Linked DNA regions of Caenorhabditis elegans. The protein of the gene in region 1 purifies or fractionates together with the protein of each later gene. This does not show direct contact. Each region holds a gene or a part of one and is shown in the gene's direction. Other genes may lie near its edges.

Region 1 (6,830 bases):
GAAATTTCTGGAGGGAGTCGTTTTTCGATTCCGCTTTCTTCAATAATTACATTTTGAGAAAAGGCGTTCGAAAACCGTTTATTACTGATATGTCAGCGGGAAAACGAATTTTTGAAAATTTTATTACAGGATTGTACTCATTATTGATTTCCCAAAAAGGAGACGTATAGTTGAGGGCTATATCTTGTACACAGACAGATGTATAGAAAAAAAACAAGTTTTGGCCTGAAAATTAATAAAAATAATATCTCTTGGCAGAGTATTTCTAATGCGACGAAACTTCATCTTCCATCAAATAAAATCAAAAACTATGAATTAAAAATACATTCCGCAAAACTTTAGTGGATAAAATGTTCAGGAGACGCAGGAAACCACTCCCCCCAGTACTAAATTTTTGAATTATTTTTTTCTTGAAAAATTTTCCCACTGAACTTTTTACAAATTTTATATGTCTCGATGCGTCTTGATGAGACCTACACGTCAATTTTTGGAAAACTAAGAAAACTCGAAAACTGACCGAGTTATGATTGAAAAAGTAGATTCGCGAAAATGGGAAAGTGTGCAAAATGTGGCACTTATTCGTCTTGCTCGGCCGACTCATAAAACTTTTCTTAATTCTGAGTTGAAAATCGTGTTTAGCGAACTTTTTTACGTGGGGTAGAAAAAAAAGTATCGAAAAAGATGAAGTAGAACTTGAGATAAAGACGAAAAACAACTTTTTGCCTTTTGCACTTATGAACTCAAACTTTCTTTCAAAAAATTCACCTCTCTGAGTAGTATCTTGCACATAAATTTGGAACAAAACCGAGCAAAACCCGAATTTTAATTCAATTAAAACATGGTTTTTTGGGGGTAAAAAGAGCAACAAAAATTTTTTTCAAACTAAGGAAAACCGCCCTGAGCTCAGTTTTGCTCCAAACTTTGTGCAGTTTTTTGCTCCCCCGTGGTGAAATATTTCTAGTAAGCTGTCAAATATTATAAAATTCAGTCAAACGGCTCTAGAGTTATTAATGAAAACGAAGTGTGACATTTTTTCGCAAGCCAAAAAAAACGCGAAAAAACGCGAAAAAGGGGCGGAGTCGCCACACTCGGCATTTATTAGAGGCTGCTTGGCAGAATTGAAATGTATCCACACCAGGGCTATGCGGCAACCGGCAACCAAGTTTTCGGTTGCCGAAACTTTTTGGGTTTGGCAACTTTGGCAATTGCCGGTTGCCAAAATTTTCAGAGTTCGGCAACTTCGGCGTCGCACATCCCTGATCCACACGTTTTATACTAGTTTCCATAAAACAGGTGTCACACGTTGACATGTATGTTTGGTACACATTTCTCCTCCTGCTGACCCACATACCACTCAGCACCGAATCGATAACTATTGGTATGCGGCCATCTCTCATAATGCCTTCATTCTCATAGTCTTATTTGATTTTCTCAGATTTTAAAGTTTATATTTACCACTAATTTTGAAAGTTTAAATGCTGATTTCAATAAGATTTTTGCTTATTTTGAAAATATTGTTTTCACTATAAAAAATATGTATATATACTGTTGCATTGAACATGCTATTTTTGAATGATTTTATTCAAAATTAATAAAAAAAGACTGAAGAGAGTGGGATTCGAACCCACGCCCCCGAAGGGACTGGTGCCTTAAACCAGCGCCTTAGACCGCTCGGCCATCTCTCCACATTTTTCTCTTTTCACTCAAGCTGTTGACATGTTGAAAAAACCCCAACCGATTTTCTTTTCTGTCTCTTTCTCTTTCTCTGCCTCTCCACCGTCTCTCACTACACCTCTCTTGACGCCACAAACAACATTCCGATATTCCGATGGTGTCGTTGTTTAGAGTGTTATTGTAATTACTGCAGATGGAGAAATTTTTTATTTATAATTCTTGTTCTCCACTTTACTAAAACAACTCAAAACGTTTTCAGATAATTCTTAACTTATTCAAATAAATATTTTCAGGATGGACACAACGAATCAGTCAGAAGACATAAAACCTTGCGTAAGTATTGAATATTTGGCACTCATTTTACTTGTTTCACGTCAAAATTATTTTAATTCCGGCAATTTGTCGGTTTGCCGATTTGCAAGACCACCTCAGCTTCATACCCTTCTAAAACAGTTCTAATTTTAGGATTCTGATTTGATGGAATCAATTTTGATGTTTGATGAGCCCATTTCCGACATTTTAGCGCATAATAAATTGTGGATTAGTCATGCCAGGGTATTTCCAACGCAATAGTTAAGGCGAACTTCTTTGTTTTTTTTTTCAGACGAGATCCAATTTCTTTCCACAAGAAGGTCGCCACATTTCCAATCAACACACCGAAGCAGCGACATCGTTGAAAATGTGGATGCTTTCAAAAAATTTGGTGGTCATTGTGAAAAGAAAGGACGATATATTCCCTTGCAAAATTCTGGTTGGTTTTTTATCAAATAATACGGTTGAAAATTGTGATATTTTTTCGCTAAAGTAAGCATCGAAAATGACTTCCCGATAATAATATTAGTTTTTTAACTTTATAATAGTATTGCATCTAAAAAACAGCCAAAAAGAGTGCAAAACTCATTAAAAAACGTTATATAAAGAAAAAGTTATTTTTGATACCGATTTCCCTAGGTGCTCCAAAATAAGGATGGGCGGCAGTTGCCGTTCGGCCAATTTTTTTTTGTCGACGAATTTGGTAAATCGGCAAACTGCCGATTCGTTGTTGGATTCGTTGTTGAAATCGTTTGTCGTCCACCCCTGTTTCAAAATCACTTCACTGCAAAATCACTACAAAATAACTGCACGAAAAAATGTGCTGAACAAATGAAAAGCCAAACTTCCATTTTTATTTAAACTAGAATTATTCAAAGTCAGTCATGAAAAAAAACAATATGGTATTATTTAAGTACCTCTATGTTTTTTCTTCCAATGTTTAAATTTACGTTCACATTATCCTCAAAGTTTCAGACACGCAACCCGGAAAACCTATTTGTGGCTCGATTTCTTGAAAGCGGAAAAGAAAAGCATATTCAGGTAGAGTATTCGGATATAATAATGACAAGAAGTGAACTCGAAAAAGCCCTGCCGTAAGTTTTAGGAAACTACTAGTATTATTTCTGAATAGTTTTTTTTTCAGATTGTGCCAACACTTGATTCCAGCGAGAAACTGGGACGACTTTTACATAATCCGCGATTTTGAGAAAGCGACTCCGTATTTTGAACAAGGCTTGTCCGCATTAGTGAAACCTGGACAGCAATTTGAATTGCAACTTGAAGATGCACCGGATTTTTACGTCATGGCCACTGTTGTCAAAAATTATCGTGGTTTCCTGTTGGTTGAATATCAAAACGTCAGTTGTGTGCAAAAGTAAAATCTGGGTGCATCAAAACTTTGTAATAAACTTTTTTTGGTGTTTTGGAAACTTGAAAAACGGAAAATATTCAGAAAAACAATGCCAGTCTTTTTGTTTCATTTTTTAATGCTTTTTCAGTTCAAACGATGGATACATATGCTCAGCCCATACTGTCATGAAATCGGTTGGGGCAAAAACGAGAAGCAAGAGTATTTGAAACGTAAGTGGAAAAAAATCCAAATTGGCGCTTTCTCACAGCCAAGTAGCTATTATTTAAAGGTGGATGTGCGCCAGTGGGGAAAATTTAAAGAAACGTTTAAAAAAGTTAAAAATTACGGTACTTATCAGGGCTGTGCAACCAAGTTGCCGGCTGGCAAAATTTTCAGAGTTCGGCAACTTCGGCAATTGCCGGTTGCGAAATTTTTCAGAGTTCGGCAATAAACTGAGTAATGTAAAAGTTTAGATTTTCAATTAAAGTAATGAGTTTGATCGAGATTTTTCAATGATTACTTGCAATTTCCCCTAGCAAAAATAGTTTGAAAATCATTTGCAAAATCGAAGAGAAGTGATTTTACGATTTTTTCAGGAGGCCCCTACAATCGACACATGAACGTTGACCTGGTTGCCGGACTCGTGAAACAATCGACAAATCAAAAACTCGGCGCTGTTCCAGAAATAGTCTTTAGAAACAATTGCCCAGTTCCCCATCGTATTCCAGTAAGTGATTTGGTATACTGTAAAAATGTTAGAAGAAACTCAAAAAACTGTTTTACAGGAATACAGTGCATGTGTCTATCTGGACTTGGATCAGAAACGCTTTTATTTTGCTCACAAGGTCACTACAAAAACTTGCAGGAACAACCGTCATTTTTTCAATATTTCAATTGGAAAAAATCTTGTGACCAGTAAGCAAAATAATGTAAGTTTATTGTTCTAGTTCTTTTTGTTTCAATCGAGTAATTTTCCAGAGACCCTACGAGTTTCATGTCTATCATCCAAGAATTCTACCATATTCAGTTGCTAAACGGATGGAAGTTCAGATAATTCTACCGCCTGATGTCAAGCTGCTTCCTGATGAATCAAATTTAGATGGTTACCTTCGTACGTATTGCAATCCGTGTGATGTAAGTAATCAGAAAATATATATATAAAATCAAATACATTAAAGGAGTAAAGAAGAGAAACAGATGAACATATTTTGGGATGAGACAAGGGATGGAGAGAAAAATATGCCATTTGAATAAAATAAAATTTCAAATTTGAATTACACGAAATACGTTTTTTTTTTCAGAAACACAAAACAAGTGACCGAGTGCAGCCTTCGCCAAAAATTGCTAAGAAAAAGAACGGACCTCTTTTGCTTGACGATACTCCGGACGCAATGTTCAGAAGCAGGGTATGTAACTTTAATGTGTAGTGTTGCTTGTTTTTCTATTTTTCTTTTCTGAACAGATGGTAATTCTCCTTTAAAAATTTAAAAATTCCTTTTTTGACTTTTTTTTTTTGACTTTTTACATAGGCTCTTCAAAAGCAAGAGATATTCAACAAAACAATCATCATACATACATTAGACCAATGTCGAGAGAATTCGAAAATTTAATTGGAATTCTTCAAAATTTCTACCACTTAATTTTCCAATAATAAATTTCAGCCGCTGCTCGGAGACAACATTGGCGCGCACAAAGAGTGGACAAATTTCATGAATCATATACCAGATTACAAACGAAAGGATTTGCTTAAGAGCATGGATACGCTCAAATTTTGTGAGGTATTAAACGCTCTTTGTTTTTTATATTATTTTATCGATCAAAATCTTGTTCAGATTTTCCGGCCTACACCTACAGGAGCGTTGCAGTTGACGGCTGCCGAAGTGACTGGACAGCAAGAATGCATGCTACGGCTAAAAGTGAGCGGCGAGGATGAACCTGTGTACATTCACAATGCGTTAGTTTTTTTTTGTGGAAATATAAAGTATTGGATGTGAGAAAAATGATTAAGTTTGAAGTGTCAATTTTATGACCAAGAAAAAATAGGAACATTTAAATTAGTGTGATGAAAACCACTTTAAGTTAAGCAAATTTGAAAGAATTTGAATGATTTTAAAACTTGAATTTGCAAAACTTGTTGCTCGTTTCCTTTTTTGTATCTTTGAAGTATTCTGATATTGCATGCAATCATTGAAGTAAAGTTGCCAGCAAAATTGTTAGGTTGAATTTTCAGAATTAGAACTCTTGGTGTAGGCATATTTACTTGGGTAAAAGTAGGTGTGAGTACACCGGCTTAAACTCTTAGACATTACTTTAGGTTTTTAAGCCAAAAAACCAAAACAGTTGTAATTTTAACGAATTTTCATTATTATTCGAATCCTTCTCAAACTCCTCAAAATTGAAAGTTATAGGTTTCCAGGCTGAAAATGTTGTCCTAAGTTTAAGGAAAAAAACAACTTACCAGTCTCTCAACCTTTTGATGAAGGGTTACAATAATCCAACGGTACCACAAAAAAAAAATAGTAACTGTAATTTTCAAATATCCACATAGACACGTTCATTTTGTCTCAAACTTACTCACTCTCACTCTCAGTTTATTTTTTCAGCGATCCACATTTGTACCATCTGGGAGCTTGTCTTGACATGGAGCTTGCTATCAACTTTCACGGAGAGTTTTTCGATGAGAAGCCCCTCAAAAAGAACAAAAACGCCAACAACGGATTTTCGAGTTTTTGACTGGTCTCTCACTCCAATTCATTTTTCATACGCTTTCATTCATATGATTTGTCATAAATTACCGCTATTATTCTATCCTCCTTGGGTATATCTCTTTTCATACCTCGCAAACATTCGTTCGTTTCAAATGTGTAACTCACTAGCAACCTTCGTGTTCCCTTGTTTTTAAGTGTGCTGTTTATATATTTTGATAATATTAGAGTAAATATGATATATGTATGTAAAATTTTATTACAAAAGTAAAAGGTGGAGTATGTGTTCGGACGAAAGTATAGATCCAAAATACTTTTGTTATAAAAGTTGTTCGAATGGTAAGTTATAATTTCATATCGAAAATAGTGATTTTGAATTTTTTACAAAAGAGATGATAAGTTTTTTTTTTCATTGAGGGGGCCGAAGATGCAACCCCGACCTCGACCCGCCCAAACCAAAAAAGTGCACACTACAGTCCAAGTCTGGGTCAAAATTCAAAAAGTTTCATATTCGATGTTTTCAGGCAAGTCTAATAATGCAATAAAATTTGGCTACACCATCATTAACTATTCTAGTAGTTGCTGCCAAACAATTCCGCGTTGATAGGTTCAATGAGAGGGAATTGTCCTGCTTTATTCTTACTGTAGATATGATTGCTGCTCACTCGCAGCCACAACACTCAAATTTGCCGGTGAGTTTAATGTAACACACTCAAATTTCCGTGCGAGGTTTTTAGTTTGCAGATATTTTGGCCTAGTAGTTAAAACAACAGATGTATGGCAGTCAT
Region 2 (2,733 bases), on another chromosome or scaffold:
CCGACTACCGTACCCCAGAACACTGAATCTGACGCAAAAATGCAGAAAAGTTTTAAAAATTGGGTTTCCGGGGTAAAAAATGACCAAGAATTCGAATTTGATGATTAGAATTCAGTAATGTGTAATTTTCAGTTTGAAAATGCCGATTTTTTTCAGAATTTTTAAATTTCAGATTTTAAAGTTTAAATTTTAAAGACTTTAGCAATAAATTCAGTTTCTACGCAAAATTTGGTTTCCGGCACGGGTGGTTTTTCGGCTTTCCAGCTTAAATTGAGAAATTTCCGGGTTACTGTAGCCCCAAAAGTACGCAAACACCGAATCTGACGACAAATTGCAGAAAAATCAGTTTTTGTAGTGAAAAATGGCTGGAAACTTGAGTTTTCATGTAAAAAACTCTAAAATTCCAATTTTCTGCAACTTGTCGTCAGATTTGGTGTTTACGTACTTTCGAGGCTACAGTAATCCAAAAAATTTTGAATTTTTACGTATTTAGAGCCAACTTTAGCGAGAAATTTGAATTTTACCACCTAAAAAGCCAAGAAATCCTATAATTTAAGCCAAAAATTTAAAATTTCAGCACGATCCTGCCACGTCATCACCGCCACCGTCACTTCTACCACACACGGGTCCATCGGAAATTGTACACCACGAGGAGGAGGTTCATATGATGTTACCGGAGGAAGAAGCCGATCTGATGGACGACGATGATCAACAGCCATGTACATCGGCTTCTATGTATCGCTAAATTTCGTGTTTCCCCCCACATTTTTTTTGAATTTTCTGTACTTTCCCTCAGTTTTTGTGCGATTTCAATGCAAAATTCGAATTCCCTGCCATTTTTTACCCCGGAAAACATTGTTTTAGAGCTTTTCTGCATTTTTGCATAAGGTCGGGTGTTTCGGGTGGTGTTTGCGTACTTTTGGCGCTACAGTAACCCGAATTTTCAAATTTGGAGCTAGAAGGTCCAATTAAAAGCTGTTTAGAGCCAAATTTCGCGGGAAATCCGATTTTGATCCTAATTTTTGGTAAATTTTAGTTTTAACCTGTGAAATTCCTGAAAAATCTTGGAATTTCCAAGATTTCTATGAAATCTCAAAATTATAGTGCATTTTGACTCGAAATTCGAGTTCCATGTCACTTTTCACCCCGGAAAACGCTATTTTTTGAGCTATTCTGCATTTTCGCGTAAGGTCGGGTGTTTCGGATGGTGTTTGCGTATTTTTGGCGCTACAGTAACCCGAATTTTTGAAAATTTAGCTAGGGAGCCCAACTAAAAGCTGTTTAGAGCCAAATCTCGCGGGGAATTCGAATTTCGCATTGAATCCTTCAGTATTTTGTACCATCATCTCCATATCCTGAGATCTCTCACCATATTTATATTTTATTAATTTTCGAATTTTTTTGTTAAAAATTTTTATATATTTTTTTGATTTTCTAATTTTTTTTGTGGGTTTCCTGAGAGTTTTTTGCTCAACTTTTTATCGATGTTTTCACGAATTCCCCAAATTTCGAAAATTTCCAGAACTTCAGCACAATGTCAGCCTCGGTACCGGCGGATCTCCGAAACCTACGTGCCTGCCTACTCTGCTCACTGGTAAAATCGGTGGAAAGCTTCCAGAAAGAGGGCTGCGAGAATTGTGAAGACGTGCTTCACCTGAAAGGCGACGAGGAGAAGGTCTATGATTGTACCAGGTAGTAGGAGTGGAAAATTTTGAATTTTTATGTGGAAATTTGAATTTCCCGCGAGATTTTAGGCGGGAAATTGGGGGATTTTAAAAATTTGAAAAAAAAATTTTTTTTGAAAATTTTTTTTTTTTTAATTCGAATTTTCCCATTTTTCAGTGCAAACTACGATGGAATGATCGCGGCGATGAGCAACAACGAGTCGTGGGTGTGCAAATGGCAGAAAATGCAGCGAAAAGTGAAGGGAATGTACGCGATCAGTGTGTCTGGAGTACTGCCGAACAATATTGTCAGCGAGCTCAAGAGCCTCGGCGTCCGCTATAAGCCCAATCAGAGAGACTACTCGACGCAATTCAAGAAATAATTTAATTATTCACCCTTTTTTTCCACTAAAATTGGTCGATTTTGAAGATTTTTCAGACCCAAACCTAACTTATTTTCTGTGTTTTTTTTTAACTTTTTATATCCATTTTTGAATCATTTTTTTCTCGATCTTCCAATAAATCACACTTACGGGAGTTTTTTCCTTTTCCTTGGAATTTTGAATGCTCTCCTAATTTTTTTGGATGGGAAAGTACAACTATAGTAATCCTACGGTACTCTGGGACTGCGACTACAGTAACCACACAGTACCCCGGCAGTACATGTACAGTAACCCTACAGCACCACTACTGTAACCCTTCAAAAACTATAAAAAAGTGGCAAAAATGGCAATTTATGGCAAAAAATCACAATTTTGAAACTCCCATAAAATGGTTAGTTTTATAGTTAGAGGACTCAAAATTGATTTTCTGGCACTATAACATTGCCCTTTTTAAGAATATAGTGGTTTTGTACAATTTCCGAAAAAATATTTTTTTGCCAAAAAAAAAAAGGACAGTCATTAGATGGCTTTAAAAAATTTGGGCAAAAATAAAAAGTTGTCTAATTTTGTTGAAAATGGGTAATTCATGTATGCAGCATTCAGAAAATCTAGGTTTAACCCATCAAAAATTTTTAAAAAGTGGCAAAATGGGCAATATTTTTTTTGGTCAGTGCATTTTTTTTGGT

Evidence for each region.
Region 2: the proteins of sor-3 (region 1) and spt-4 fractionate together in Caenorhabditis elegans (co-fractionation; one large-scale study listed by BioGRID). This does not show direct contact.

What each region holds. Positions count from the first base shown.
Region 1 is NC_003284.9:351,652-358,481, forward strand, and holds sor-3 (Sop-2-related protein 3), read left to right. Parts: upstream 1-1,967; 5' UTR 1,968-1,968; coding exon 1,969-2,007; intron 2,008-2,139; coding exon 2,140-2,229; intron 2,230-2,278; coding exon 2,279-2,425; intron 2,426-2,961; coding exon 2,962-3,080; intron 3,081-3,130; coding exon 3,131-3,344; intron 3,345-3,485; coding exon 3,486-3,567; intron 3,568-3,933; coding exon 3,934-4,064; intron 4,065-4,122; coding exon 4,123-4,266; intron 4,267-4,315; coding exon 4,316-4,471; intron 4,472-4,638; coding exon 4,639-4,743; intron 4,744-4,998; coding exon 4,999-5,115; intron 5,116-5,169; coding exon 5,170-5,291; intron 5,292-5,940; coding exon 5,941-6,070; 3' UTR 6,071-6,288; downstream 6,289-6,830. UniProt on the Caenorhabditis elegans protein: Probably acts synergistically with sop-2 to maintain the transcriptionally repressive state of homeotic genes in order to regulate various neurogenic identities. Specification of some neuronal identities also involves expression of non-Hox genes.
Region 2 is NC_003281.10:68,540-71,272, reverse strand, and holds spt-4 (Transcription elongation factor SPT4), read left to right. Parts: upstream 1-1,520; 5' UTR 1,521-1,534; coding exon 1,535-1,692; intron 1,693-1,842; coding exon 1,843-2,047; 3' UTR 2,048-2,200; downstream 2,201-2,733. Other genes in the region: attf-3 (C2H2-type domain-containing protein), read left to right, coding at 578-745. UniProt on the Caenorhabditis elegans protein: May function as a component of the DRB sensitivity-inducing factor complex (DSIF complex), which regulates transcription elongation by RNA polymerase II.